3 linked regions of the Lonchura striata genome follow. The protein of the gene in region 3 purifies or fractionates together with the protein of the main gene of each other region. This does not show direct contact. Links are inferred from orthologs where the notes say so. Each region holds a gene or a part of one and is shown on either strand. Other genes may lie near its edges. The genes, in order: TES, CDH5 and CTNNA1.

Region 1 (10,796 bases), on a different chromosome or scaffold from region 3:
AAAAACATGAGAAATCTCACTGCTGTGCATGCTCTATTGCTGAGACCTGGTCTTACTATATTCTGTACCATCAGAAGTCTTCTCTAGGAGGGAGACCCAACAAACAGAAAATTAAAACAGGTTACAGCATTTGAACTTTAAACAGAAGAGCAATGATACTTCTTACGATTCCTGAATGAAAAAAGAACAAACCACTACAAAAGACAAGAATATTCGGACAATGATCTTAAAAAAATTTCACAGACTCTGTATGAGAAGGAAAACAGAATTCAGATTTGTAACAAAGAGCAGTATCCCACAAATCACTTTATATTTGTTTTAACATGTCTATTAAAATTGATGACAACTGTGACCCTGGGTTTTTTAAAACATGTGTTTTGATTTAGGGAGAAGTTGACTGGAATTAAGAACCCTGGGTACAGAAGTCCATTTTGCACAGAAAGAAGGATGCCAAAAAGTGACTGCATCCAAAACTAATATTTGGAAGATGATCTGGGCAGGACAGGCAGAGGAATAAATCAAGAGCTGCAGTAGCCTGATAGTACAAAAGTCTCAGGAATTTATTTTATTGTGATATCTTCTACTAAATATCAAATAGCTCAGAATTTAAATATTTAAGATACTGCTACATACCTTCAAAAGGCCAACAGCTATCAAAGATAGCACAGCTGGATAGAAAATAAGAGTTGTTTATTCACAAAGTCCAGCATTACACTAGCTAAGTTTGAATGCAGCTGACATACACTATAACACGATCTGTAAACCTCCAACAAAATATAACCATCATCATTTTCACTATACTCCATGGATTTTGTTTTGACCTGAGCACTCTTACCCAGTTGCATCCTCTAACATTAGGTCTTGAGAAGCAAACCTGGAAACCTACAGATTAATTTTTTAGGAGCTTTAGTCATGCAGGAAAGAGCATGCTTTTTTTCAGCTTTTAAAAGCTGTAGCTAGACAACCTCAGACTGAAAACCAGGCACAAATAAAGAGTTAGGCAGACTTTTAAACTACCAAAAATTCCCCAACAAAACCAGAAACACATACATAGCAGTACTGGAGTACAGTTAGATCTGGTGTATTCTGGAAATGTCATGACAGAAGCCTCCTGACTCTTTTTACCTGTTAATTTGACCAAATTTGAGATGCTAGGTAACAGGTGTAACATGCCTTCATCTTAGCAGCTCTGCTCTTCCTGAAAGTCTCCAGAACCTAAAGAACCCCACCAACTTTGGTCATCAGCAAAAACTATGTATTAGGGCATTTTGTACATATACTTACCTAGAAAAAGACCCATGCATATATATATATACACAACCAATACACATAAGAATTAGTTTTACATGAATGAAACATGTATCTATTTAGATTGTAAAATACAATTTTAAAATATACTACATTATAGATATTTGCATCTACACCCTTACAACTGTAAACTTTGTATCTGCTAGGAAGATGATAGTAATTCGCATGACAGGTTCGGCATACTTTCTTCAAATATAGAAAGTAATTTTAAGCAACTTTTACCAATAAAATTTCATTGAAAATTGCTACTCACTATTACTTACTTAGAGGAAAGTAGAAACATTTCTTTTTTTTCCAGGAACAACTGCAGAATCAGATTTTTGTAACTTTTATGACAGAATACTGTAACTCAAGGTAAGTTAATTTTCCCCCTTGCTACAAAATACTTGGTTTATAATTATACCTTATCGAATAAACTTTCAGCTTATCTTAAAAGTCATGCAGTCCTGCATTCAAAGAGTTTCTTGACTTGCTACTCGGGCATTTCATGATATTTTATAGTCAAGACACCTGGGGAATACTTTTGCCATTGGAAAAAAAGAGTAAGAGTCAAAAAGTTTAGTTTAGCTGTGCCATATTTGCCAAGCTACTATCGAGGGATGCTGGAAAAAAAATCTAGAGGTGTGGATACAGACAGGTGATCCAAAAAATTATTCACTTTTTTTTTTAATGTTGATGGGGGGTGGGGGGGGAACCCTCAAACCCCACAGCATACGCAGGAAGCAGTTACTTAGTTTCCTTGTGAACAAAACTGAAGTAGTTCCTTTCATATCTACATAAATGTTTTCATTCTTCCACTTTCAGGCAAAATTCACCCCTGAATAAAAGTATATTTCCTTGATGTTACTATACATATGAAACAGCAAAAAACTATCTACTATAATGGGTTTCCAAAGCAGTAACACCAAAACAAACACTGACCTCAACAGGAAGTGCAGCCTAGCAGACATTACTAAATCATGCTTTGCAAAACACAGAAAAGTTTCCTTTGCTCCTATACATACTTCATTCACCATTCATTTATCAAGGATCATTACAGTTGTTGACTTAGCAATGTCTAAAGCACGCAGTGTTTGGTTTTCCAACTGTAACAGAACAAACTAAGTTGAAAAATAACCACACAAACTCCACACTAGAGAAGTTGCACCTCTTCCACCCAAACTGCCCTGCCCCTTCTCCATTGCAAGCAAAGTTTCCTTTTATAAAGCAAGTATTATACTGTTAAAGTTTATATAGAACAGACTCACTGCCAGATTCTTATTTTCTCTAGCGAAGCATGAGACCATGCTGCCAGCAGGGCTGAAAAGCAGGACCGTGACCTACTGATTCATTTTACCAAGTTCACAGAGGTGGCAGACAGGGCAGTAATCCAGGCTGTTAGAACAAGGTTCTGCTAGAGTATTCAACACAAAGCATTAAATCTTTATTTATTTTCCCTATAGCCTCAAAGCAACGTTTGAGAACACAGCATATATTGTATCTGGGAGAAACAGTGGTCTGTTTTTTGCACGAGTACTTTTCAAGCTGGAGCTCCTGTTCTTACCCTTCAGCTCTGCTGTGCAATCACTTCATACAAACACTGTTGTCATGATCCTTAAATGCAAGAGCAAATATAACTCCCCCTACAAAAAAGGAGAAAACTGTACAGTTTTCCCTAAATTGTAACAGACCAGGAAAGTCTTAGTATTCACAAGACAGCCAAAAAGACACTATTCACTGCCTAGATGTTTGCCAGTTACTTAATAGCTCTAAAAAGCACAGTGAACTGACTACAAAATTTACATGACCACACATTTGCATAGGTTCTGCATATATATTGCTCAGTATGCTCAAGTGCATGCTGAAATTTCTGTTTCTGGCAGGCTGTGGCTGCCCAGAGTCTAGGATTCAGACCAAGTGAGGTATCTGGCTACACAGCACTAATCGTTCCTTTGGCTACTTTTACCATGCATGAAAGAAACCAAACAGAAAATAAATTAAAAGTCTGAGCCAAAGTAATTGTGCCCTGAAGATTCCTTAAGAAGGGTACATTAAACAGGACTGCTGCTTTTCTGTCATGAGACAGAAAGTATATAAGGTATCCACTGCTGAAAGGATGGCTTAGAAATTGTGGCAGGTAGGGCAGTAGTTAGAAGAACTGGAATCCTACTGGTCTTGTACTGGAGGGAAGCAATTCCAATCAGACAGACTGTGATAGAGCTGTTACATTTGGAGAAAAAAACCCACGAAACCTAATATCAACAATGAAAACAGACTTTGAGTGTTCTTTTCTTCACACAAAACCTAGACATGTAGATATAAATGTATGTAGCAGCTTTCCAAAGAGACAATACAGAAGCTCAAAAATGAAGAATGGACTTAGAAAATACAAGCTTAGAAAATACAAGCAAATCTACTCAAGAGGCTTATTTTCATTGCATACAAAGAGTCACATAAGGGGAACAACTATCTTCTAAAGACAGCAACAGTACTTAGCTACACCCTCCTATACGCTGATGGCCCAATGACTGGGGGTTGAGACAGGCAGTTCCTCCAAAGCAAGATCCTCACCCAAGTGACACTATCACGTGGTGACATCACTTGAAGCAAGCTGTAACTCAAGGCCACCCGCTGCTAGGATTCAGCCCTAACAGGTCGCTTTCCACACTACACAACTACTTCCACCCCCAAGTCAGTTTCTAGCCTGCAAGTTGGAAAAGCACACAGGTATACAAAAGTGCATACGTGTATTTTAAAACAAGTTGCTACCTGTAAATAAAACAACTCAAGAATAAACCCCTCAAAAGACTACTTTTCACATATCAATTACGGTTTTGCATATATTTAACCCATGTTCACATATAAAGGTGCTTTTCCCCTTATCAAAGAGTATCAAAACAGATACTACAAGTAAGTTTTTATTTTTATAAAAGTCAGTGATTTAGCACTACATTTAATTTGTGATAGAACTAGAAGCAAAGACTTATAAGAGTATCCCACGGCAAGTCAGTTTTACATAGGAAGTTTTAAATGGTTAGTTTTGGAAAGAAATTCAATACAATTGGATTACCTATCAATTTCTTCTACTTACCTTTTGTTTCTTGCCGATTTGACGCAACTAACTAGTCAATATACCTTTAAAAATAAAGAAAAATCAAGTCCAGGCTTCTCGCTCAAGGGGGTAACCCATAGGAACGCTGATAACAAACTTGTAAGGAGTCAGTCACATCATAGGTCTGAAATTAATCACTAACATAACTACAAACAGCGACTTGTCCGCTTGTAATTTAAGTTTCATGCCTACATACACAGCGCGCACACACATGAAAACAACTATCAGATCTCAGGGGTTTACTGTGGGGACTGAACACGTTTAACTCGCAGACAGAACAGCGGTAGGGCCCCGCCTGGGGCAGCAGCTGCGGCGGAGCAGCGGGGCAGCCCAGCCGTGCGCCCCGGGCACCGGCAGCCGGCTCGCCCGCCTCCCGCCTCCGCCGCGGGGCCGGGCGGGGCTGATCCCGGCACCAGGGCCACCCCGGCGCAGTCCCCGCGGGGGCTCCAGTGCCCATAGAGCGGACACCGGCGTGCGCGGCAGACATCCCGGCGGGCAGCCCTCCTCACCTTCTTCACTTTCTTCTCCAGGTTCATGGCGGGGCTCCGGCTGTGAGGCGCCCCCGCGGAGGAGGCTCCGCTCGCGCGCTCCGCGGCGCTCAAACTTCCGCTGCCCTGCGGCACTGGCTGCAGCCGAACAAAGGCGGCGCGGCAGCCAATCCCCGCCGGCCGCCGCCGGCCCGCCAGCCAATCCCCGCCGCCCCGCCCGGCCCGCCAGCCAATCCCTGCCGCCCCGCCCGGGCCGGCCGTGAGTCAGCCCCGGCGGGGCGGGGGTGCCGGCGCGGCGGCGCTGGTGCAGCCTCACCTTCGGGTACAGAGCCCTGCAAACGCGGAGTGTCCCGAGCCGTGAGGAAAGAGGAGATCTCGGGCTATAATGCGAATGTGCCCTTGAGGCCAAGAGGGCCAGTGGTAACCTGGGGTGCATCGGGATGGCCAGCAGGTGGTCCTGCCCCTCTACTCGGCCCTGTCAGGCACATCTGGAGCGCTGTGCTGAGTTCTGGGCTCCTCAGCACAAGAGAGACAAAGAGCTGCTGGAGAGGGTCCAGTGGGGGGCCACAAAGATCATCTGGGGTCTGGAGCATCTCTTTAATGAGGAGAGACTGCAGCAGCTGGGCCTGTTTAGTCTAGAGACCACTGAGAGGGGATCACATGAATGCATATAAATATCTCAAAGGCGGCTGTCAGCTGGATCCTGCCAGGCTCTTCTCAGCGGTGCCCAGTGACAGAACGAGGAGCAAGGGCTATAAACTGCAACACAAAAAGTTTCACCTCAACGTAAGGAAGAACTTTTCCACATTGAGGATGACAGAGCACGGGAACAGGCTGCCCAGGGAGGTCCTGGAGTCTCTCTCACTGGAGACATCCCACCTGGCCACGTTCCTGTGCCGCTTTCTCTACGTGACCCTGCCTTGTCAAGGAAATTGGACTAGATGATTTCCTGACAATTTATTGACTGAAGGAGGAGCTGGAGGTGGCAGGGTACAAGGTCCGACCGTGCCCGCCAGGCCGAGACTGCTCCCGAATTCCCAGCGACTTCCCGGGCAGGGCCGTGTCCGCAAGGGCTGGGTCCCAGACTCCACCTACCTGCCTGCCGGAAAAAAAGTTAAGACTGATCCCAGTCTTCAAACACTTTAGCGTATATTCAGTCCTGGGATACCACTGATAATATAAATTTTATTTTACCTATAATGTATACCTAATGCAAAATGACAGAAAAATGAAGCATTTGCAAGACTGAATACTTCCATAAATATTTTAATGTTTCATATTTATTTTATTTTTGGAAAAAGTAGCAAACATTAATAGACTTTATAGCCCTAGGAAGTGATAGTGAAAAATTTGATAATTTTTTCATTCATTTGCACAATCTAGTGTTTTGTCTCCACAATGACCAGCTTTTGTCATGTAGATATTAGGTAATTTTGTTTCTTCCCCAGAGGCCAGAGATACTTATATTTCAGCGTTTAATTTTTTTGTCTGACACCACTTGTTGAAAGATGTTTGCAACAAAGCAAACATTAGACCAGGTCTGTTTGTTGTCTGTTAGCAGATAAAAGCAAAACTGACTTTTCTGCTAGGACTGGCATGGTGCTGTATGCCATGGGCCAACAGCTCCTACAGGTAAATCTATTCAGCAGATCTTGGCCAAGAAGTCCAGTAAAAAACTGGGAGGGTGAGCTCAAGCTGTATCATTAGAAAAAATGAGAGAACATGGTCCACCAAGTAATGCTGCTGTATTTAGTGTGTGTCTCCCTTACAGAGGTGAACAATAGGAACTGTTGCATGTATTTGGTTTAGTTGGGTTTGACATTTTGGTTTTCATTTCTGGTTCTCACTCTGGTATTTTTTTTTTTTGGTGGTTTTTTTTTTTTTTTTTTTTTTTTTGGTTTAGTGGTTAATTCCTGGTGGTTTGGGGGTTGAAAGACAAGGGGAAGTTAAGGGTGCCTTATGTTGGTGTACCTGGAACCCTATAGTTTGAACACCATCAAGCCTCATAACTTCCTCACTGTGGTCAAAGGAGTAAGGAGATCATTCCTGTTCAGTAAATGTGCCCTCGAATGCTAGCAATTACAAAGATTAGATAGGTAGTTTTAACCATACTAAGCAGAGAAATGAAACCATCATAGTCATCATTATATGCTTTTCATTCGAGAATGGATGTAGAAGCATATTTTCATTCTAGGAAAAAAAAAAAAAGAAGTGAAAGAAAATATTGTATGGTTTAAGTTTTTGCTTATACTTATCTCTCTAGGTATAATAGCATAATAATGGTTTTGACAATGTAATTTTTCTTTTTTTTCCCTACTAAGCTTTAATACTGTTCAGTTAATAATAAATTAATTTGCTTATATTTTTCCTAAACTTCTTGAGTTGGAGATGCTCTGGTTGTGATTTGTGCATATTTCAGTTGTGTCATCTAGTGCCAAAATGTAGTAATCTTTTAACAACTTCAAATTCATATAATGAAGCCTACAGATTCATGTGTCTAATGGAAAATGCAGGCAGTAATATAAAACTTCTGGTTTGCAAACCAGCAAGTTGCTGATGGAACACACATTCTCTGAGACCTGGATCAATAAAGAATGCATTTTAAGATTGTAACTGTTTTCTGTGTTTTCTATGGCTTTAATTTGCCTGGCAGAAATAATTTCCTACTGCGTGAATTTGATCCTGTATGACTCCCACTTAAAGATTCTGAAGTTGCCAGGAGAACAACATTGATATGCTAAGGGCACAGAGCTGGGCTTTATTATAACTCTCTGGGAAATATCCAATATCTCTTTTAAATACTATTATTTTCTAAGGAAAGAGCATGATTTATACCAGCACTAACTTTCCCACAGCAATGTTCATGAAGCCAACAGGCAGAAGATGGGAAAAGGCTAATACTTAAATGTATATACTAATATACATTTCTGGGAACAAGGACTGCAGGGAGTGGATGGTCTATCAGAAAATTTTCCTGCTTTTACAGTTTTCTTTGCACTCAGATACCATAATGATGAATGTAACTACATTTCTCCAAACATTAGATATGTAGATTATATATGTGATTTATATGCCCATCCTCAGACGGAAGGCATCATAACTTAGCAATGCTGAAAATTTGTTTCCAGTAAAGCTGTTATTTAATAAACAGTTCTTCTGTTTAAACTTCTCAAGAGACTAACTTCCAGTTAAATTCTTCTAGTTTTGCTGTTTTCTCAGTGCTTTATATGTTAGAAGAAATGCCACTGTGCTTTTAAGATATTTTTCTGTAAATATAATCTGAAGTGTGATATAAATATAAAGAGTCTGTCTTGCTTCAGAGTGGCTTAACACACTAATTTAGTTTTAAAAAAGCATTTCAGTTTGAGAAGGGAATAACATTTGCCTTTTTATATCCATTTGATTAAAATAATGTTACATGAAATGTCTTGTGGCAGGTCCAATAAAAACCCAGAAGGGAATTTGGGTGCAGAGATCAAAAGCTGTAAGTCTGGAGGCATTACTGATTATCTTCTTACCAGGTAAGCATATACATGGTTTTCTGTTGTACTTTAATTATTTTGGTTTTTGCTGTCTCAGATTTCAGATGCTGTAAGTGTTAATATTGGAACAGTAATTTTGATAATTGTTCCATGCTTCATCCATTCTAAATCTAGAAACTAAACTTCACTGTATTTCATTCTACAGAGAGGCTTATTATGTTAGGAAGTTTCAGACCATGCATGAAATAGAGGCTGATTTAAGAACCTTGTAAAGTTTGGTAACACCTATTGCCTTTTTAAAAGAATATAGAAAGAGGCTGTGCCCCACTTTTTCCATAAGGCCTGAGTAGATATTGAACCTTTCCCCAAGGCAGAATACAAAGTCTTAAGATTTCATCAGCATGATGGGAGTCAAACTACAGCTTCCATCTGTTAGGACTGTGGACTAGCTACCAGACTTTGTAGTATGCTTTTAAAGTAGTTCCACTGTACAGAAAAGAAAAATTGCTCCCTGAAGCAGTGACGGAGTGGATCTGTCTATGGGCCTATGCAGTCTCAAGGCCTACATTGGCCAGATGTTGGGGAAACTTATACAGATGAGGGCTTGTTATCCAAACAACCCTTAACACAGGCTACAGTCACACTCTTTCTTGTTCTCTGACTGTCCCTGTGACTTTTCAGTTCTTGGAACAGTGCCAAAGCAAAATGGTAGAAAAATGTGGTGTAGCTTGATTATTATGACACTTGCTAGGAAAATCAAATCTTCCTTCAACCAGGAACTTGTACTTGCCCATTTGTGGGCAGTTTTAGGAGCATTAAGAGAAGGGGAGAAAACAATAAAAGAAAAACTTCTTCTATAAGGAAAGAGTAAGCTGTGCTCTTTCCTTTGAAAGAATTGGGATAGAAGGAGTCTCTGTTTCCTAACAAGCAGAGATATTTTCTATCAAGTGTAGGTGATTCAGCTAAGTTGGGAGACAGCTGTTTGCTGACTATAATTTCTTTTCTGCTTAGTATACTTCATGGCTTGGAGTCTGTTCTGAGTTTTGGAACTGCTCCATGATCTCTATGTTCTTTAGGTCCCCTAGCATAGAAACTAAACATGTCACTTTTAGGTTTCTAAGTCAATTATTGGATATAACTCAGAAGTTATGTACTGGAGAAGGGAGCTAAGTCTTTTATTTCCTCTCTGGTTTTCAATCCCAGTCACAGCATGTATAGTTACAACCTGAAGAAGGTTCCTGCATTATTAAATCTCTAATGAGGTAAATTTACTTAGGCAAAAAACCCTACTCAACACCTTCTCAAACACCTACTCAAAATGTATTATAAATTATAAGAAATTAAATGTGTGGTACCAGATAAATACTAAGTAAAACCAGAGATGCACTTCTTCTTCTTTGAAAAGCTTATTGTATAGTAAGTTTCCATACATATTTTATTCATGGAAGAAAAAGGAGCTCCTGGCAAAATTCAAACATATAAAGACAGTTTATAGAAGGTGGAAGCAGGGATGGGTGACCTGAGAGGAATACTGAGGCACTGTCTGGCATGCAAAGAAATGTCTATGAAAGGCAAAGCCCACTTGTAGTTAAATCTGAGAAAGGATGTCAAATGAAGCAAGGTAAAGTTCTTGAGTACACAAGTAGCAAAAGAGTGAATAGGGGAAGTGTGGACATGCTGCTGAATGGGGAAGTGGCCCTGGTGACATGGGACATGCAAAAGGCATTGCCAATTTTGCCTCAGTCTTTACTAATAAGACTGGCCTTCAGAAATCCCAGATACCAGTGGGAAGGGCTGAAACAAAGAAGACATACCTTTGATGGAAGAAGGTGAGGTCAGGGCATACACAAACAAACTGAGGTAAGTTTATAGGTCCTAATAGGAGGTATCCATGACTGCCAAGAAAGCTGGATGATGCCATTGTGAGACCAGTTGATAGTTGTGGATTCATCATGGTGACTGGGAGAAGTGCCTGAAGACTGGAGACAAGTAAATGACACACCTATCTTCAAAAAAAGCAAGAGAAGGAAGACCAAGGGAACTACAGGCCAGTTACTCTCACCTTTATCCCTGTGGTGCTTGCTGGAGTAGCTAATCCCAGAAATCATTTCCAGGCACATAAAGGACAAAGGTAGCATGGATTTACCAAGTCATGCTTAACCAACCTGATATGATCCTAAGGTGCATCCATGAGATAACTGGCTTGGTAGATGAGAATAGCATCCTCATTACTGGGTGATGGGGCAGAGTGTATCCACAGTAAGCTTGGTGATGATGCAAAACAGGTGGGTGTGACAGACACACCAAAGGGTAATACTGCCAACCTGAGAGATCTGGACAGGCTGGAGAAATGGGCTGATAGAAACCTCTTGAAATTCAACAGGAATTGCAGAGTCCTGCAGCTGGGGCAAACAACCCCAGGCACCA
Region 2 (10,359 bases), on a different chromosome or scaffold from region 3:
ACCCATTTTTCATCCTGCATTACTCCCTCAGCTTGCAGAGCTGCAGTGAGATCCTCACAGCTCAGAAGTGCTGGTGTGTGGCTGGGGGAGCAGCCCCACACCTCAAACTGAGCAATTCACAGGTAAAGAGAAGATTAAAAAACATATTTCCACTGCCCTGCAAACATCAGTCACTGAAATCTGGCATTTTATAGACTGAACCCTCCAAGGTCTGTGACTGGTTTCCCTGACTATTTGCAGGGTATACCCTCATGCCAAAATTCCAAACAACAATACCCAAACCCTAATACTCACATTTCCATCTGATTTTCACTTCTATGCTTGACAGCTAGGAATCTATTGATTCAATTATAAACATAGCATTAAGAATCAAATGCTATTTTATCAGTTCTAGGGAAAGCCTGAAATCTTTATATTCCACATTTCACTGCAACAGCTAAATTCAGACCAGCACAAATCAGAGCAGCTTCACTGCAGAGGGGACAGAGCCTGCAGAGTTTAAAGGCAGAGCCTGCCTGCTGTAGCCTGCACACAGATGGTTGGGGGCAGAAATCCATCCTGACTGGTTTCCAAGCCAGGAGGAGTTCTCACACATCCACTCAGTGGCTAAAGAGGCACAGTGCCCACTGCAGCACAGACACAATGCACAGGGGGTGGCAGCAGGACTCTGAAACCATCTGCACTTGCACAGGGCTTGGCAGCAAGAGCTGGACTGGCAGCCTGGGCCTGGGGTGTGATAAAGGGAATGTAATAAATGAGTAAAAGTCACTGAACCAATTTACAAGGCATTAGTGCCTTGGCTCTCACACTTCAGCCCCTCGGCAAGGATTCATCCAGAGCAGTTCTCTCCACTCTGCTTTTGGCAAGTGCTCAGTTCCTCCAACAGCTTTGCAGAAAGCACATCACCTCCAAAAGCTTTGGAGAAGGCACATCACCTCCAAAAGCTTTGGAGAAGGCACATCACGTCCTTTCCTTGCCCCATGGGCCTTTGAGCAACACAAAACCCATCTGGAACCCAGTGTCCTCAGGAGAAGGGTGGCAGCAGCCTGGGAGGGGGGTCCTTGTGGTCCATGTGGAGAGCAGTTGGAGTTTAAAGCTGGGCTGCTTCAACAACCAGAGTTCATGAATGAAAGGTGACAATTTTCGTTGTTTTTTTTTAAGGAACAGATTGCCTTGGTTTTGGTTTCTATTTTAAGGGTCATTCAAATTAAAATAGGTATGTTCTTCAGGTGAAAAAAAAAATCACTGAAATTGAAGATTGTTTATCAAAAACATTTGTGGAAGATTTTTTATCAGTTTCACACCTCTACACTTGACCTGCTCTTCCAACTGGAATCACGTGTAAAGGTTAGTGTGCTAGAGTTAGCCTGCAGGCTTGTTGTTCCAAACCCCTGTGGATTGTGTCTTCAGTGAGCACATCAAAGGGATTCATGATTCCTTCCTTCAGCTCACTGGTGACGCAGTTCCATTTTATGGCTTCTGCTCAGGCTGTTATAAAGTTTTAGTACAATACGGGTGCATTTTGTACCATCTATTCTTTCCTGGCATTTCCAAACAAGGCAACAATATCATTTGGGACCATTCCCTGCTGAGCATTGTATTAATTAAGTCCTTGATACTTATGAAGCCAGAGGTCTCATTAAGGAGGATGGGACTGACCCTTGCAGGAGAGATCTGCTGTAGTGAAATGAGTGTGGTACAGCCAGAACAGTGCTCTGGAAAACACCTCAGCAGATGTTATCACACCTCCCCAGCAAGCACCCAATTCCACCAGCTTTCACTGAAATTCTTCAGCAGTTTGGGTTTTTTTTAATTCACCTTAAATTAAAAACAAATCAGAGCTACATTGCTTTGTTTAAAAAACCTGACAAGAGGAAGCCGAGTCAGAGTGACTCCAGGATGCGCACCTCAGGCTGTGACAGAAAGGAAACCAGTGACCAAGTGGAAATGACTGAGAGCACTGCACTGCCCTGATTAAAGGCCCAGAAATAACAACACAAGGTACTGCAGAGATTGTGCCTTCCACACGGAGCAGGAATTGTTATTTTTTAACCTTCAGGTAATGGCCCTTCCAGAGAGGCTGCGGACATCCGTCAGATGCAATTGCACATTTCAGATGGGAGGGATTTTGCACTGATTAGCTGAGCTGCTGGAAATTAGCATTTGGGGTTTATTTTTGTAACTGGGAGCCTGTGCTCTCCCCCACCCTATTTTCTAACTGGTCAGAAAAATCCTGGCACAGTATCAGTGCTGTGACTGAATTCCCAGCCTTGGCACACCTTCCCTTGCGCAGCGCCTGTAACGTGCTGGGTTTAGCAGGACAGACTACTGAATCTAACTTTTATAACTGTTACAAAAACATTCCTGGGCTGTACTTGCAAGGGTAAAACCCTTCCCTAGTGAGAGTCAGATAGCAGGATGAGAATTAAAAATTAGTTGCAGCTGTGTCAATAGCTGCCTTTGGTTTTGATAACTGTGCTTATCAAGAAGGGCTTATTTATCATATGGAATTTCACCATAACTCAAATTACTTGAAGAAAAGGGAAGAAAACTCTTACTTAGTGAAAAGTACAGGGACACTTTGTCCACTTTGCAAGGACTTGTGCTGGTTAGGAAAGCAATGAACTTGTTCCTACAACTATGTTTTCCATGAATTCTTTGAGAACTTTCCAGAGCACTGATCAGATGAGACAGTGAACAAGCAACACAGTGCAAACCTGAAACCAGCTGTAAGCACGAGTCAGCCTGCCCTGCTAGGAACACAGCAAGTAGAGAAACTGGAGCTCCTGATCATTAGATCAATCTCCTCATCAACAGATAAAATCTAATTCTGAAGAAAGGTGCTTTAATCTCACATTCATTCTGTGCACTTATCAACCCAGTAACTTACACAAACCCCCCAAGGGTGTCTGTGCACAGCTAGCACAGATTTAACAGATTTAATGTGGTGAGTGAGGGCTGGGTTTCTGCCCATTATAACACAGTCCTCTCAGCAGTAGCAAGATGACAGCTATTGCTTCAGATTCCCAGGAATGTCAAATCCAAACTATGCAAAGCATCTGTAAAGCAAAGTTGAGTTCCACCCCATCATTCAAGAGAGGAAGGACTATTTTAAACTTTACTAGTCTGGCAAATGGCTCAGTCTGCATTTCAATAACACAGGCTGAACTCAAAGTTTCACAGAAAGACATGCTGATCTAAACCAGACATACCTGACCCAGGTGCCACAGAGCCCCAGAGCAGCAGCTAATGAACATCTGTGGGAAAAGCACTGGAAAGAAGCAAATGATCAGTAAGGGCAGCTGGATATAGCATGGAAGAAAACTCATACAGCAGAGCTGAACTGAAAAGGGCTTGATGCCATTTGGAGACAGGAATGGCAGGAATGCACCATGAAATGATGAGTAAATAATTACCACTCCTTTTGTTCTGCCACCATCTCCATCCATGAGTCACACAGACAGTGTGTGCTAATTGATTTTTTACCTGTTCCCTTCAATTCCACCAGCTGGACTGTTAAATAATATTTCATACCCAAAATCACACAATTAAAAGGTAATTATGTCTGCCAATGTTGTCTGATCATGCAAATTATTTTTCTCATTAGCAGAACTTACTGTGAATTAATAATATTTTTGAAGCATTACCCTCTGGCTTGCAAAAGGCATGAGCCACCAAGGAATTTTTCCAAAGTCTTATGATTTGGCCACAATGATAAAATCTGAAAGTCTAAGATCTACAAGAAATCCTGCTTGCCAGCATTTTGTGTCATCAGCTTTAAACCACAGTGCTTTCACTGCCTAGGAGGGACAGCAGGGCAAATGTCTGGGATCAGCCAGAGGGTACAGAGCACCTGAACCTCCAGGAGCTCTGCTGCTGCTGGGAGAGGGCTGCTAGAATTGGTTCTGCTTTCCATAAAATCTCAATGGACCTCTCCTCATAGCCAGAAAGGAAACCTAAACAACCAGTTCAGCAGAGATGGAATCTATAAAGCATCGTTGGAAGGTTTTAGATGGTAAATCAGGTCTCTACAATTTCAATGGAAGTATCTTCCTCTTAAACTTACAGAAGATTTTCGGTTTTCTATCGAGCTCTGATGCAGAGCATGTGAAAAGGCCTTTAGAAACTTTCTCAGTTCTTGCCTTGAACTTTTTGGGGGAGAAGAAGCAAATCAGATAATAGGAAGGTAATTATCAGACATTAAAACAGACCTGGACAACCTGAGCTGTGGCCTCAGGGCACACAGAGAGAGCCCTGGGGTCTCCTCTTTTCCCTCTGAGCAGAGGGATGATTCCCCTCCCTCCTCCTTTCTTGAATGTCACCCTCAGTCCCAGCCTCACACGGGGACATCAGAGGTACAAGGGGCTGGAAATGCAGCTGGAGCCACTTGCAAGGGTAAATCCTATCTGAGCCCCCTGTCTGCTGTGGGCACCTGATTATCAGGGAGCTGCTTCCTGAGCAGAGATCTGCACTTGCCTGGAAAACCCCTATCAGCATCTCCCTGCTCCTCTCCCAGCCGTGACACAGCTTATTTAACAACTCATTTTCCTGCAAGGAAACTGGACTCTCGGGCTCCTTACACAAGACTGAAGAATTTCTCCTTTTTTTTTTTTTTTTTTTTTTTTTTGTAATAATTAATGTAACAAATTCCTTCAGAAGCCATTCATCTTCACTGAAGATGAATGTACACCATGAAAAAGTGAAACAATCTGACCAACCTCAGCCTCCTGGCAAGGCAGGAAATCAATCCCACCACCTGTGCTGGACTGTAATGACAAATTATTTAACTGTGGAATAATATTAAAAATTTAATTCAATAATTAAAATTACTAATGTCATACTTAAGATACATTGAACATTTGCCTGCATTTATTATAAGTGGTTCCAAAGAGTGCATTTTGAGTAAACCCCACACTTCTCAGTTTTCTTCTGCATTACTTAATGAAAAAAATCCTCTTTCATTTGTAGTGCACAATGCCAAGAGCTACACCCTTGTGTTCAGTTTAACACTGAAGCTTCCCCTTCTGAGTGTCCTGAGTGGTCTCCAGACTTAGAATCACCATAATCAAGATGCTATGAACATTTCTTCTTATGAAAGGCCTGCCTACACTGCCTTGCTCCTCTGGTCTTCACTTTACCTGTGAAAAATACTGTGAAATTTCATCTTTACACCCAGCACTGGCAGAGCTTAGCAGGAACCCAGTCTCATTAACAGGAAGGCTCTACCTTTTTGGTTTCCAGGTATAAAAATTCTTATAGGTAGGACACTTCCAAACTGCTTTGAAAGTCCTGTTTATGCAAAGCAGGCATAGTCTGTGCTGATCAGACACTAAAAGTTTCTCTTAGAAATTTGCTACCTCTTAAAATTCTCTCTAAAACGATACCAAATAACAGACCAACTCTGGTGTTTCTCTCAGAGTTTCCTTTTATCCAGGTCCCTCATTAGAGTCAGCAACAAATAAGTAGATAGAGAAATAATAAGGCTAACTTTATCTTGTTTCCTCCACTCCCTTTTCTCACTGCATTAGTAAGACTTGGAACAATAACAGGATGCCGGGATGCAGGATGGGAAAGGCTGACTCCCAGCTGGAAAAGCTTGGAGACTGGAGAGCTGAACACTCCCAGTATTGCTTAACGAAAAGAGAAGTGGATTTTTCTATTTGATCTTCATTTTTTGTATTTTGCTTAACATTTTGGGATACTGTTGGGTTTAGTTTGCCTGATTTGGTACCACACTGAAGCTCTGCCACCTCGGACTCTGGTAAGAGACAAATGTTATTTTCTGTCCTTCAGCCATGAAGTTCATTTCAAAGGGTTTTTTACCTCCACCCAAATTATTTTCTAATGTCTTAAATAAGTTAAGAAATATCAGCAAATGGGCTATGAATTTTATACATGTCCACAAAATCCTTTTGGCGTTACACTGATGGCACCCGCACCAAGTACAAACAGCAGAGCTCTTTACAATTGACACTGCAAGAGGAAAATCTCTGGCTTTGTTGGGCTATAATATTCCCAGGTTATTAAAAAAAAAAAAAAAAGAGAGAGACATTTCATGGGTTTTTTGAGTATTGCTTTGTAATATTTAGATTGTGTTGCCAAAGTTCATCTATAATGAAAAAGAGGTGGAGAATATGCTGGAAAATGCACCTGTAAAGCCTTTAGGAAGGGATTTCCCTACTGGTGTGGGCAGGTGCAGCTCCAGGACTGTTTTCAGTGAGCAGAGGTGTGCTGGGCTGGGATTTGATGCAAATTTTTTATTGAAGTGGGGTGGATTTGGGGTCTGTAAGGTGGGGGGCCTTCCTGTGCCCTGGGCCAAGAGGTGACAGCCACCGTGTGCACTGGCATATCTGTTAAAAACTGGGAAGGGAGTTTATATAAATCCAGGTCAGTGATTTGGTCCTAATTCATAAGTTTAAAGAGTCCCAGGTACTTTAACGCCATAACTCTGGAGTACCAGGTTTTACAGACCCTGTTCTAAAAGACCAGTAATTCTTATTCCAGAGGTTTCTTGATCTCAGTGGTTCAAAAAGACCCATCTTTTTTTTCTGATGGGTTATTTTATGAGCAGTGGCTTGACACAAAAAGTTGTTTGAAAAGGCTTTTATCTTGTCCTAGAGCAGGTGTAGCAGGTCCCTGAACTAACAAGCTTGCTGTGCAGCTTGCAGAGACAAAGCATGTATGCATAAGAGATGAGCTGATAGTGGTTCTTCTCTAAGAAATCTATTCTGCAATAGTGGGACTGTCAGTGTGCACAGCACCTCACCGTGCTGGCTGTCACACTGTAATAAAGATAAAGGAAGGAAAGAAATGCAAGGGGAAAAAAGATATGGAAGAAGATTAATTTCTGTGAGAAAATCTCTTTCATTCTTAGCTCCCAAAAACATTCCAAGTTGGCTGTTTCTGCAGTTAACAAAGGTATAGTTAATCAATGTTTCTCTGCCTCCTGTGAATATAAATCATTAGATCAGCATTTGTAAAAGCACACAGTATTATCGATGATCATGCAGGAAAATATATTAGACAAAAGCAAGGATGCTCCAATGATTTACAAAAGCTTCTCATCTTAGGTTAATGTGTGCCTGGTAACAACAACCCATATACCAGAAACAAATCACAGAAATGCTGACTTGAAATTTATCTCTGATATCTCCAAGAGTTACCTTTTATCCTTAAATAAAAGGTGACCCACAGGAGAAAAGGACATAGGATGCATTTAGCATACGAAAGCCTTAGAATAGTACAGTATGCTAGAGAGAATAATGTGCATTTACAAGTAATAAAACAAATTAATTTGAAAGCAAAGGATAAACTCAATTTAAAAAGTCATTCCTGATTTGCCCACAAAGCCACAAACCTGGGTTATTTTTCAGACTGCTACAGCTGCATTGCAATGCAACAAGAAGCATTTCCCAAAGCTTTGCTCTTTAACAGAAGCCCGTAACAGTGTTCTTTGAACATTTTTAGAATAAATGTTAACACTGAAATTGAGTCCTGGAAGAAGAGCATGTCCCTGAGCAACATGCAGCTTGCAGGATATGGGGCACAGAGGCAGGGCAGAGTTAAAAGCTCTGCTGCCAGCTTTGCCTCACATCCTGCCTCTGCTGAGGGAAACTGGCTGAAAACAGGATTGAGGTAAAAATCACGGGGCATGGTTCAGAAACCATGGTTCAGAAAGTGATTTACAGCAGTTATGGAACAAAGGACTTCACTGTCCCTCATAAATCAACTACTTCAATTAATATTTCAAATTCAAAATAGAAAAACTTTCCTAAAACTCTTGTTTTCTGGGTATGTGTCTACAGAACTACAGGTTTAAATCAGGCCAGTAAATACTTTTTGTTTTCTAAAAGAGCAGAGGTTCACAGAATCAAGATAACTGATTATTTCTGGCAGCTGACCTTTCTGTAAGGAATCGCCATTGTATTTTCATCATAATTCCAGGTTTTGTCAGATTCTACAAGTTTAATTCAGAGGTTCCAATGTTAGTGCCAAGAAGAAAATAAGAGGTTCCCTTTGTGAGAAATTTGTTGGGCATTAAATTACTTTGGTACTTTCTGTTTGTTTGTTTGTTTGTTTGGGGTTGTTTGTTTGTTTGTTTGTTTTTTAATTTGACAAATGGGTTTCCCTTGTTATCTTTGTGAGTTTACAAGCTGAAAACCCCTCAGAGTTTAGCACAGGTGTGAGCGGTTTCCCTTCCTCCCCGGAGCACAGCAGACAGGGATTACTGGGGCAGACTGGAGATCTGCTGGGACAGAGGTGCCCAGCCCACAGCCACCAGAGCAGCTCCCACACAGAGCTTGGTGAGCCCGGAGCTGGACACTCTTTTGAGCCATGGTAAAGGTTTTCTGTGGGTTTCCCTTCAGGGCTCTGCTCTGCCAAGGGCCATGCAGGTGGAGCAAACACAGAAAACAAACCCTCCTGTCAGGGCCAGGTGCCACGGGCTGTGCTGCTTCCAGGGATCCTGCGCCAGAGCCTGGCCCCTGCCAGAGTCCCTGCAAACCCAGGGGTCCCACCAAGCAATGCTGGCACTAAACCTGTGCAAAATGAGGGCATGTTCAGAAATGAAGGCACACCAGTTCAGGAAACTCCCCTGAGCAGCCATCCAGGAGGGACTCAGGCAGCCCCACTCCCACCCCAGACTGTCCCTGCTGGGGCTGGAGCCCCTTCCCAGCCCCAGGAGCCAACAGGTCCCACTTGGCTCCCTGCACACACCCTCTGTCACACCAGGATTCCTTCCCAGTTCCAGCCCAGGTCTCCCATGGCAGAGTCTCAGATATCTCATTCCATAATGCCATTTATTCCCAGCGCAGGAACACAGAGCAGCCCGAGCCGGTGCCTCCCAGGGGGATCCCAGCCAAGGAACCCCTGGGCTTTTATCCCCTCCCAGTTCAAGAGTGCCACAGTCTGGCTCTCCCTGCTGAGCCCTGGGCTCCTGCCACATCCCTGGCTGTGCCACAGCTCCCTGTGCCCTTTGCTGTGCCCCTTTCCTAGGGCTCCAACCATCCCCAGGGCTCTGAGCTGCCCCCAGAGACCTGCTCAGAATTAATTACTCATCACAGCACTGCACCTCCTGAATTCTGCAGTGAGGCTGGCCTTGGAATATGAAAAATTAATAAAAAATTGTGAAGAACCTGTTTACAGTTCCTCAGTGCAGGAATAAAAATTAGCCCATTTCATTTGATTTTCACTCATCTGCATCTGAATTTCAGATCTGTCAATAAGAATGGAACTGGCTGGTTTTTGAATGCAAGCTTTTGCTGAATATGCTAAGTTCTGTCATCTCCTGAAAGGGAAGTTGTTTGTGCCATGGGTCTGATCTGTGCATTGGCTGCTGGACACCTCTGTTGGGCAGGCAGGGAGATTTGGAGCCCAGCCCTCCCAGGTGCTAATTAGGACATTCACAGGACCTGGAGCAGCTGAAGACCTGGGATTTCCAGGGCTGGCAAAGACAGGAGAAGGGCACAAAGGCAACCTATCCCTCCAGGCACTGCCTACACTTCAGTTTTGGTGCCCTGAGAATATCCCTTTAAAGGTTTGTAATCTGTAAACCAGAGTCAAGAGCTGACCAGGCACTCTGGAAGACTTTTCTCCAGACAAGTATTTTTGTGTGAGACAGAAAGCAAAACTCTTACAATAGAGTAGCAGCTAGATTTGAAAGCTTTATCAAGTATAATCCACAGAAGTCCAGAAGTTATCACAAAAAATAACAGAAATTTTAGAGACATGCAAGCATGCTTACCTGCACAAACTAGGGAAATGGCACAGGTACCTTCCCAAGCAGCAGCAGAGAGAAAAGAGTGCCCCAACATTGCTACCTGAAATGCAAGGACTTACAGAGCACCACTGTAGTTAGAGGTAGATGAAAAGGCAAAAATGTTTTCAGGCCCTCATTTTTGAAACCCAAAGAGGTCACTTTATTGTCCCAGTTGTCACTAAGACCCTTCCCGTCCAGTTTCCCCAGCCTCCTCTGCCTCAGCCTGAGGCACCAGAGGCCCCTGTTTGTGTCACCCTTCTGTCCCAAAGCCACGCAGCAGCAGTGACACCTCTGCCCATTTCCCTCCCAGCCCCACCTGGAGCGTGCCCCTGACCCCTGGCAGAGCTCAGCAGGGACAGGGGGTTCATGCAGCACACGGGGCCCTTGGTCTCATTGTGCATGACAGTGGGAAGGGAAATTGCACTTCCACCAAATTCCTTCTCCTGCCTTTGTCCCATGTTTCTAAGCCATGCTCTGGTAGCAGCAGTCTTCCTTTTCCCCTTCCTTTAAGGATGCTATCTGCTGTGAATCTGGGCTCTGGGAATCCTCAAGGAGCACAAAGCCTGCTACACAGCATTTGCCTTGAGGAGACCAAGGGCCTG
Region 3 (10,738 bases):
GGTGCTGTGCAGAATAGATCATCCACTGTACAGCAACAAATCAAATTTAGGGAGAAAGAATTTGGAAACAAATTACCAGTAAGATATTTCAAGCTGACAGCAATTTGGAGCAACTTAGGTCTGTCTGGTAAGAACTGTATTCCTTTTATTTCCCTATCAATAGCAGCTACCTTATAAGATTGGTTTCTCATTGATAATTCTGTCTGGAACAGAAACTCCTGAGTACACTTAAGTTGATAACTCTCTCTTTGATCACATTTCAGTAGCAATGCTTTTCACCTTGACGACAGAATTTCTCCCTTTGGATGAAGTTTCCATGCCTAAAAAGCCACATGGGTGTGGGATTTCCAGGCTCAGGGAGCTCTGGCGCACTGCAGTGCTTGGACTCGGGGCTGGGAACGGCAGGGAGATGAGCCTGGGGCAGGAGCTGCAGGGTTCGGCGCACTCATTTGCTCTGCCTCAGTCTCCCTGATCGTATAACAGTATAGAAACTACTTGTAGGTGTTTGTCTTTATGGGAGAGGGATAATTCATATCTGCTACCGGCACCTCATAATGCTGAAACAAGGATTACGGGTGTTTCTCCGCACAGCTTTGCGTGCCTGGAGGAGCAGTGAGGAGCTGCACATGGCATGTGCGAGTTCAGGTGTTCCCACGGGGAGCACAGGAATGGTGCAGCCACAGGCTCCGTGTGCCCCCACTGCCCTGCACTCAGCGGGCAAAGGGGGCGGGTGCAGCTCGGGTGCCAAGGGGCACGCTGGGGTGGAGGGGCAGTCGGGACTGATCCCACCCTGCACATACAGAATGTGCTGTTCCAGCACTGGGGACTCATCTCGTGCTGACAGCGGCGCTCAATGTGTTAATTACCGAGGGAGGTCATTAATGTCCATCAGCAGGCGGGGAGGGGACAGGACTCGCAGGGAGGAATGTGTTGGGGGTAGACTGGAATGCAGCAGTGCTGACATGCCCGGAGCAGGAGACATAAAAAGAGTGCACTAGCCTGTAATTTCTCTGCAATTTCTCCTCGGGAAGTAATGAAAGTTTACGGCTAGTCGTGGCAATGCCCGTGTCTCTCTTCCAGAAAGAGGCAGATAAAAATAGTTTAGAATCACACTGAGAAAAAGAGAAATTTGACATTCCTTTGAAAACTCTTTGTGGTCAAGTGCTCCCAGCTCACTTTGGCCAAGTACTTAGTAAAGAGGGATGCCAGCTGTGGCTAACAGTCCTTTAGGTTGCCCCCATGAAAGCCAGGCCCTGCTCATCTGCTGAGCAGAGTGATTTGGCTTGTTTAATCTTTAGAAATAAAAATGAAGGGATTTGTGCTGGTCCAGCAAAGCCCTGGCTCCCCTTGAGGGCTGTGTCAGCCTTGGGACAGGAGGGCTCTTTCCTCCTGGTTTTCTCCATTGCCCCACTTGCTCCTTGGGGCTGGTTTTGACCTTGCTGAAGCCTCACACGATCCTGCTGAGCTTTCAGGGAATGTGCGAGGGTTCGGTGCTCCGGATGCAGGGTAAGGTGCTGTCAGCTTGGGGTTTGTTTCCACTCCACTGGCTTCTGCTTTGTGTCTAACATTTGGGAATAAATTATCAGGAGGTGGGAAAGCCTTGATCCAATGATGGTTTCAATTTGTAGCTTAAATTGTGACCTTTTAACACCCCAAATTAAAATCACCCAGCACTTGTTCTGCACTGCATACCTCCTGGATTACAAAAGCAATTGACAGTGTTATTTACTCAAGCAGTGCCTTAGAAACGAAAATCTTTTTGTCTGTTCTCCACAGATATGAAATACTCAGTCACGTAACAGAGGCTGCATTTAACATGAAGAACCTTTTTCCTCTGTGCCCTTGGCTAAGCTCTCACAGTCCCACCTCTACAGGAACCACATTTCAATGGTGCTGTACACCCCTTAGTCTTTACAGCATTTTCGGATCTTTCCAGATGGAAAGTGCCATAAAAATGTAAAATATTATTAATTAAAGGCTGAAATAGATGCAGTGTGTGGAGGTCAGTGACTCATGCAGGAGGATTCTCAGGCTTCTGCTATGCATTGCCTCGGGGTGCTTTTTTGAATGTTCCCTTCTCCGGGGCTATGACAGTTTATTACACAAAGGCTGTGTGAAGCTGGAGGTGAATGCAAACTACTTGGGCTAAGAACAGCAACCAGTGAACCCAGTTCATGCTGAGCCTTTTGGGATGGCATAATTTCCCCTCATTACAGTTTCTGCCTGTTTTTTGCAGGCAGCACGGGCTCTGTGCCACAGCCCCTGTGCTCCTGGCCATGCTGGTGCTATAGACTGCTTCTCTTTCTGGAGGGCCCAGGAGCATTTGACAGTGTAGGAAGGGAGTGTTTCACTTAGGAGCCAGTGGCTTCTTGATTAGGAACTGGGCCATGTTTCTAGCACACAGTTTTCCTTGGAGAGGGTGGCAGTGATGGGGAGCACAGCCCTGGCACCAGGAGCACTGTGGCTGCAGCTCCCAGAGAACCACTGCTGATCCCAGAGGCATTGCAGCATCAACTGGGTCTGATCCCTGCGCTGCCAGCAGTGCCAGGGAGCCCCAGTGTAGCTGCAGGTGTACTGGTAAATCCCTTCTTCTCCTGACTGAGGCTTATTTCAGCAAGGCAGGTGTTGTAATCACAGCTGAGGCTGTGTACCTGCAGTCTCCCCAGAAGCACCACATACCAGCGTTTCCAGAGTCCATTGCATTGCCCCAGAACACTGGAATTTGGTTTCTGGCTGTACACATGCTCATTCCTAGCTGGATACTGCAAGACAATCTTAGCTCTTTATGTGTCTGAGCCCTGAAAAGAAATGGTGTTGTCTCCCAGCTGCATGGAATACTGAGATGAGCACTGGAGAGCCCCCAGGAGTTGGTGCCAGGCCCTCATTGTTCCTTTGCTACATTCCTGACTTCATCAGAGCCTCCAGTCTTCGAGGGAGGCTGCATTTTGGGTGACTCCTACAGCAAAGCTCACCGGCTGCGAGTCCCTGCCCTGCTCCTGCCTTGCTGGCAGCCCAGGGACAGGAGGTGACAGGGCTGTGCCCGGTGACTGGGTGACTGCTGCTGGCAGTCACACAGCTGGTGGCACAGCACGGCTGCCCTCGAGCTGTCCCCACGGCCCAGCATGACATCAGTGTGCAGAAAGCCTCAACCAGCTGCTAGTTGAACCTGGAGATTCCTTTAGAGTATTTGGAATTTTTCCTCTCTCTCTTGGTTCCTGCTGCCCATTCAGCCCCTCCAGCAGGACCTTCAGCTTACCATTACAACACTGTATTACTTTTCCTCAACTTTATTTCCTTCCTTCTGTCATGCCTCTCAATCCCCTCACCACTTCCTGCTCCAGCAGTCCTGTCTTTGAAACTGCCGTGAGAGGTGCAATGCTTCCATCTTTTGCAAATAACTAAACAAAACCACTTAAAAAACCCCTCCAAAACAAACACAAAACCACAGAGACCAAACAAACATTTTGAAATGGAGCAACTACCCTTCAACAGCATTGTTACAGAAACAGAAAATCCAGTTCCAGATGAGGCACATCATTTAGACCCCGTACACACTGAGACTGGCAGACAGTGGAGCTCCAGCAGGTTGCTAGATAAACAAGCCCCTTCCTACACAGACCCAGCCCAGGATTTACAGGAGAATGCAGCTCCCCTGCAGTGGCTACACCCACACAGTATCTCCAGGTGGCCCTGGCCAGGGATTGCCCTTGTACACACCTAAGGAACAGGGCCAGGCTGCCAGGAGTGTGCAGCCGCCAGCCCCGCTCTGCTCTGGGTACCTTGGATCGTCCTCACTGGACGGGAGCGTTTGTTCATTCTACACAAACAACCTCCCCCAGTATCGGGGTGGCCACCTCGCCTCTCTCCCTGTCCTCTCCCCTGGCTTACCCTGCGTTTTCGCCAGTGAAAAAGGGCAAGAAAAACATTTTAGAAACCACCAGGAAAATGGGATTACAAAATCACAAACACTGTTATGGGAAGATTTGAGGCCAAGCAGAACACTTGTAACTCATTTCAGAAAATGCATTAGATTTCAAGCTGCCAATGACATGGGCCGGATGGGAGGTGTGAGCTACTGTTGCTGGGTGCCTGTCTGAACACTCCCTGCATTTCAGTCTTGTTGACAGAGCCCAGTGCTGTGATTCAGAGAGAGCTGTTAATTAAGAGACAAAGTCCAATCTCAAGCTAGCTGGCTCTATTTTTACATAATTTTATGTTTTGTTTGCTGAGCCTTTTAACTCGCTCCATGAACCAACAGAGCTGCCAGCTGATCTCCTACTTTTCCCTTGACTTTTCAGTGGTGCAGTGCAGAACATGTGATTCTCTACAACTCCAGGCCTTCTACTTTGGAATCTGTAGGTTTAAAAAGGAATTTTTTTTTAATCTGACATTTTGTCCTGAAAGGATGTGAGGCACAGAGAACTGCCGAATGTGGAAGGCACCACAGGAGGCTAAGACATGATATTAAAACGAGTAATGAAAGAAAGCAAGCTATTGAAGTGTAAACTCCCATTTTTACTGAGAGTATGCTACAGACAGAAATGAGTAGTTTGGATCCCTGGTGCAATTGACACCAAATATTAATGGTTTGGTATAAGCAGGAAACACAATGAAATTAAGAAATCTGTTTTCCTCATATTTCCATAAGAGAGTCTGTTTGTTGAGGCACTGAAGACCTGTATTTTTTTTTTAATAACCTGTATCTCAGTCAGTTTCATAATTACAGATCTCACATTCTTTAGACTAATTTCACTCACTGACAAGGCTGGGCTCTTGATCCCTATTTTATTTCTGGATTATAAAACAACAGTACTCTACTTACTTCCTTGTCTTGGATCTCTTTCTTGGATTAAATCTGCAGGAAGGAAAAATGCAATCTAATTCCCCACAGGAGTGTTCCTGCAGGAAAGTTTTGTAGGAATATGGCAGTGATGGGAAACACAGCCCTGCAAATCCCATTGAACCAGCATCTGGAGGAAAGTCACAGTCCTGACCACAGTGTGGTCACCTGTGCTGTGACACTGACCTCGGGCCAGCCCCTCACTCAGTCACATACCTTGAATGAATCTTCCTTGTAGGTTACTCAATCTCTCTATTTTTTGCTTAATAACAAAGGATGGAGTGTGTAGCTTCAGGTATCGCAGAAGTGCTGGCAAATGAGTCATGAAATGTATTCAATTTATTCAGTCGTCTTTACAATCCAGTACAAGTGTAAATTCTGTGGCGAGATTTGTATCAAAAACCATCTCAAAACACACCACAGAAAGTCCCAGAGTAATTTGTCACTCTCTCACACAAAATGCTCACTGAGACTTTTCAAAGAAAACTTTAAAACAAATTGCCACATAAAGACAACTTTCTCCACCTGCAGACCTGCCTCTGCAGGTCAAGGTTAAGTTTGCAAAACCTTCCTCTCTTCTTAGAGGGGTGCCTGTGGCGTGCTTGTACCCTGGGATTTCCTCTCACCTGTAGTCTTGTTATTAGAGACATCTGGATGAAAACAAGGTGTTTCCTAAAAGCAGCAGCTCTCTGGAGGGTGAAAATATCTGGGTTTTTCAAAACAAAACACCAATACAGAAACCCAGGGGGAACCCATAACTTTCCCTGTTTCCTTCAAACCCCCTACGTCCATCACTTCCCCTCTCTCCAAAGACCCTCGGTAAGTTGCGCTTAGGAGGACAAGGCCAGATATTGACGTCGAATTTGTTGATTCTGCCTCAAAAGTGCCATCCTAAGAGCCTGGGCTGGGGGCGGCCAGGGGAGGGCTGCGAAGGGAGGCTGCCCGTGGGCGCACGGGGCGAGGGGGACAGGGAGCTGAGCCAGGCTCCCTGCAGGGCTGGGCGGTTTGGAGGTGCCTGCCCGGGGTGAGGGGACCCCCCGTCCTGCCCGGGGTGAGGGGGTCCCGCCGTGCCCCGCCCGGCCCGGCCCGGCCCGGCCCGGCCCCGCCGTCCCTCACCTGCGGGCGGGCGGCGCCGGCAGGGCGCGGGGGCGGCGCGGCGGGCGGTGCCGGGAAGAGCGGCCGGGCCGGGCGGGGAGGCGCCGGAAGAGCCCATTTCCTCCGCGGGACGGGACAAAGCGGCGGGGCCGAGCGCAGCCGGGGCGGCCGCACCATCCCAGCCCAGCTCTGCCCCGGTAAAGTTGCGGCTCTCGCACTTGGAAACTTTCGGGCGCCAGCCGGGCCGTGCTGCCGCGGGGCTGGGGCGGGGGGCAGAGGGCGGGAGCGGAGCGGGCCGCGCGCGGGGAGGGAGCCGGGCCCGGCTGTGGCGGCGGCGCTGCCCCGAGCGGCGGGGCCCGCGTGGGAGCGGGCGGGCCCGCGGTGCTGGGGGCCGCCAGCGCGTTCCGCCGGGGGAGCCGCGCGGCCGGGCCGCTCCCGGCGAAGTTTCGGTGCGGCGGGGCGGTGTCCCGGCCCCTCCCCGCGCGGCCGGGGCCGCCCTGGCGCCGCTCCCCGGCTGCGCTAGGGCCGGCGCGGCCGGCAGCCCTGGCAGCGCTCCGTGCCGTTCGGCCCGCGGTCTGCCCGGGCGGCGCGGCCGAGGCCGCATCGAGCCCTCCTCCAGCCCCGGCCGTGCTGCTGATCCCGTGCACGGACAGCCGGGAACACCCCGCGGCCCCACCTGGCTCCGCCACGTTTTCTGACACCCACCGCTAATCCCCTCCTCTGCTGGAGGGCGTGGGCCTCTCCTTCGCTGACAGAAAGTTTCGTGCTACTTTTTCCCAGACAAAAAGCAGGAAGAGCGCATCCGCTCCCGGGTTATGTGCGGCCCCTGCGTCTGCTGCCTGTGGCCCTGGGTTCCCTGGGTAGCGTGGGTCACCCGCCTGTTATTCATTGCTCCTGCCAGTTCAAAACGCCTAAAATCCTTCAGACTGAAAGTTTGCAGCAAAGTGTGTGTTCCAGTTATGTTTAGTGACGAGTCAGATGTGAGCAAGGCACGGCTCCCTGTCTGTGTGCCCTTGGCTCGCCAGCCGTGCCCGGGAGGTGGCTTCTGGCGAGGGTCATCGATCGCTGCGAGCCCCATGACCGCGTCCTCAGCACAGCATTCCGAGTTGTGACTCCAGGCGTGTCTGGACTATCTGTATTGAACTAGTCTGGGAGCTCTTTGCTGCTCTTCCCCCTTCGTTTGGCTTTGTCTATTGTTTTTTTGGGATGGGAGTTGTGCAGAAGGTGTTTTCTGGGTGCTTCAGTCACTTGTGCTCTAGTTAATGGTTTCCTGTGTTTTTGCTGCACTGGGTCTGGGGAGGTGGGAGAGGCTACACTCCTCAGTCCTGCTGGCTACGCCAGGTTCTGGGATTGTTTATGTCAGTTCCTGGGTTGGTTTGTAGGCAGGATTGTGTTGATGAAGGTGAAAGCCCAGCTCATTTTACGCTAGATGTAGCCTTTGCTCTGTCTCGGGGCAGCAAGGCCACATTAAGTGTTTTGTTGTTGTACTTATTTCACCCTTCTGAATCGAAACATGTTGTTTGAAAGGACATACTTTGATGTTGAGTCACTGTTCATCATTTTCAAAGAAGCAATTTCTAAAACATCACGGAAATGTTTTGACTTTTCTCAGCAGAAACAAAGGTTTAGTAGGTTTTGTTTTTAGAAAGGCTTTGCCCTAACCTTTTCCATAACAAACAATGTGCCTTCAGTCTTTACAGTTTTTTTTCAGCCAGCTCTAATAATAGGCCTCTGCATCGGAGATTTAAAGTTTACACAAGGTGGCTGGGGGAAGCGCAGTGGGCAGAGATTAGAAATCCCATGCTCAAATCGATGCTTTAAAATACAAATGTAAATACTTTCCTCACAGTTGATTTTCAGGCTTTGAAACATCAGCATTTCTGTGCTGATATGTGTCAGGACAGACCTTAAGGTGCGGCTTCTTCGTAGGGCTTCTGTTGGTCTAATAAATTTAACCGGAAGATGTAACAGAAGAGTAATCTGTGTTTTTTCAGCAGCATGAATATCTTCTTTCTGCAGCTGTAAGATACAGAAACTGATCTTGCAAAGGAATCCAGATTAAGCAGAACTGTTTATGAGCTGGAAATACACTTTTGTGGGACTTCAGGCCTGCCTTGAATTTACATCTGCTGTTACTGTTTGATTTCTAAATGACCTTTCTTATGCAGAGAATTAGCTAAGATCACAAAAATACTGAGTGGCCAAACCAGCCTGCTCGTCATAGGTGGGCAGTGGGGCTGCTCTGGAGCAAAGGCCCACGTGGCTGTGGTGCTTCTGTTCAGGACTTGCTGGGTTCTGTTTTACTGGTTTCTCTTAGCTTTGCTGGACACCAAAGGAAACGTGATGAATTAAAGAGGACTGAGTGTCACTTTGTTAGGACAGCACCTTATGAGACAGTCACTCAGCATAATGATGAGTCACAGACTGGTTTGGGTTGAAAGAGACCTTAAATCTCTGGTTCCATTCTGCTGCCATGGGCAGGGGCACCTTCCTGGGACACCTGCAGGGAAACCCTGCACCTGCTCTGAGCCCTTCTACCCTGGCCTTGGATGCTTCCTGGGATGGGGCTTCCTGCTGTTGTGCCTTAACTGACATCACTCAAAAGCTTGTGCTGCAGAACTTCAGTGTTGAGAGTATGACCTTGAGGAATGGGATCCGTTACTGCTCTGGGAATTCACCCGAACTGTTCTACAGCTAATCTGGAATAGCTCCATTCAGTGAGTTTATAGCTGCTCTGTTGGTTAAACAGCATTGCAGCTTTAGAGAAAGTGCAGATGTTTGATAATTACTACTTTTAACTCCATACTATTTTAATCCAGAAAATGAGATTTAAAATAGAGCTACCACAAAATTGTATGCTAGCACCCTGACTGGATGAGCTCCTCTGGAAAGACAAGCTGTGAGAGTGGCCTGCTGTTTCACGAAGGAGAACTGGGTGCAGATGGATTTACTGGGGTGAAGGAGTTGCAGGAGGAATGAGGTCACTGCAACTGGAAGTGGGATTGTTCTCCTCTAGTGACTGAGACTCCTTATCTGCTAGTCAGGGTGAGAATGGGTGTAACTGTGATTTCTGGTGTGCAGAAGGTTAGTCCAGACTATCTGATACTTAAATATGATTCATAATGCCTTGTGACTGATGGATTTAAAGAGCTAGCTACCTTTTCTCTCAATATGATTACATATTTTTGCTTGTTAATCCCAGATGTACTACAGAAAACATCTGTTAGTCCTTTGATATGTGATTATAAATATCTCTGGTCGAATTAAAGGAGTAATCTTTTTCCCCATGTTTTGTGAAGTGATAGAAATTATTCAATACACAGATCTAAACTAACACAGTTTGCAAAGTGAAATTCTCCCCCAGTCTGACGTTCCCTTGTGTTACAATTTCTCTAATTTAGAAGACAGCTAGTTATTAATCAGTTAGACTCCCAAGAGCCTCTTCTGAAAGGCTTTAAATTCAGGGATCAATGCCAGTATCCCGGGCTTATCTGAAGCACTGTGGGCAGCAGATCAAGGGCAGGGATTCTCCACCTCCTGTTCAAGTGAGCCCCCAGCTGCAGAGCTGCCCCAGCCCTGTCCCAGCACAGGAGGAGCTGGAGCTGCTGGAGCCAGGCCAGAGGAGGCTCCAGGATGAGCAGAGGATGGAGCAGCTCTGCTGGCAGGAAAGGCTGGCACAGCTGGGATTGTTCACCTGGAGAGGAGGAGGCTCTGTGGAGACCTTAGAACCCCTTCCAGTGCCTAAAGGGACTCCTGAGAGAGCTGGAGAGGTACTTTGGACAAGGGATGGAGGGATAGGACAAGGGGGAACAGCTTCACACTGCCAGTGGGCAAGGATAGATAGGCTATTGGGAAAAATTCTTGGCTATGAGGGTGGGCAGGCCCTGGCACAAGGTGCCTAGAGCAGTTGTGGCTGCCCTTGGATCCCTGGAAGTGTCCAAGGCCAGGTTGGACATGGGAGCTTGGAGCCACTTGGAACAGTGGAAGGTGTCCCTGTCCATGGTGGGAGTGGAATGAGATGAACTTTAAGGTCCCTCCCAAGCCAAACCATTCTCTAATAAACCTAGGAATGGAAAAAGCAAGCATGAGGCCAGCTGTAGCTAAAGGAATAACCATTACCAAGGCAGAGAGTGGAAGAGCACACATGAAGCCAAGCTGGAGGCCAGGTGGTTCTCTGGTAGCTCTGTTTTAGTGCATGGAGTGGCACAAGGACAGATGAGTGTTGATGTTACAGCCCTAGAGCGAGTTGAACTCCTGGTAGTGAGGGGCTTGAGAGTGAAGCAGGTGGGGAGCTGGTGTCAGTGTGGCAGGTAGGATTGCATTGGGCATAATGTGGGATCCTCAGCTTGTGGTGTGCTATTTTTCCCAAAGAACACCCAGTTTCTCAGCAATCAGTGCCCTATTATGGAGTAGATCTGCATATGACTGTACATGCTTAAGAAGAATTTCTGTGTGGAGATGATGTTGAGCAAATGAGGAGTTGATGTGGAGCAAATTAGGGTAGAAGAGGCACTGTTGGTTCACCCTGTTCTAAAGTAGCCTTCAATAGCTAGTTTAAGGAGGAGGCTGAAACTAATGAGCTTAGTAGGTGGGTAAGTGCTGAAGGATCAGGGGAAGAAACTTTTTTTTTTAAACCTGGAGGTTAACTGAGCGGAGATTGTAGGCCCCACAGTTCTGTCATTGCTGTCGTTCAGCAGAAGGCCAAGAGGGCATTTAGGTAAATACTAAATTTGTGGCTTTTCATTTAAGTCTGTAAGGGTCAATGCTATCGGGCCTTGATGGCTTGTGTGGTTTTCCATGCTC

The links.
Region 1: the proteins of CTNNA1 (region 3) and TES purify together in Homo sapiens (affinity purification with mass spectrometry; 3 studies listed by BioGRID and IntAct, with this or other methods). This does not show direct contact. The link is inferred for Lonchura striata from reciprocal best matches to the Homo sapiens genes CTNNA1 and TES.
Region 2: the proteins of CTNNA1 (region 3) and CDH5 purify together in Homo sapiens (affinity purification with western blotting; 4 studies listed by BioGRID and IntAct, counting the BioPlex papers as one, with this or other methods). This does not show direct contact. The link is inferred for Lonchura striata from reciprocal best matches to the Homo sapiens genes CTNNA1 and CDH5.

Annotation. Positions count from the first base shown.
Region 1 is NC_134607.1:34,801,435-34,812,230, forward strand, and holds the start of TES (testin), read right to left. Parts: upstream 4,988-10,796; 5' UTR 4,936-4,987; coding exon 4,909-4,935; intron 1-4,908. UniProt on the Homo sapiens protein: Scaffold protein that may play a role in cell adhesion, cell spreading and in the reorganization of the actin cytoskeleton. Plays a role in the regulation of cell proliferation. May act as a tumor suppressor. Inhibits tumor cell growth.
Region 2 is NC_134615.1:2,278,307-2,288,665, forward strand, and holds the start of CDH5 (cadherin-5), read left to right. Parts: upstream 1-5,547; 5' UTR 5,548-5,761; intron 5,762-10,359. UniProt on the Homo sapiens protein: Cadherins are calcium-dependent cell adhesion proteins. They preferentially interact with themselves in a homophilic manner in connecting cells; cadherins may thus contribute to the sorting of heterogeneous cell types.
Region 3 is NC_134617.1:16,847,235-16,857,972, reverse strand, and holds the start of CTNNA1 (catenin alpha-1), read left to right. Parts: upstream 1-6,023; 5' UTR 6,024-6,132; intron 6,133-10,738. UniProt on the Homo sapiens protein: Associates with the cytoplasmic domain of a variety of cadherins. The association of catenins to cadherins produces a complex which is linked to the actin filament network, and which seems to be of primary importance for cadherins cell-adhesion properties.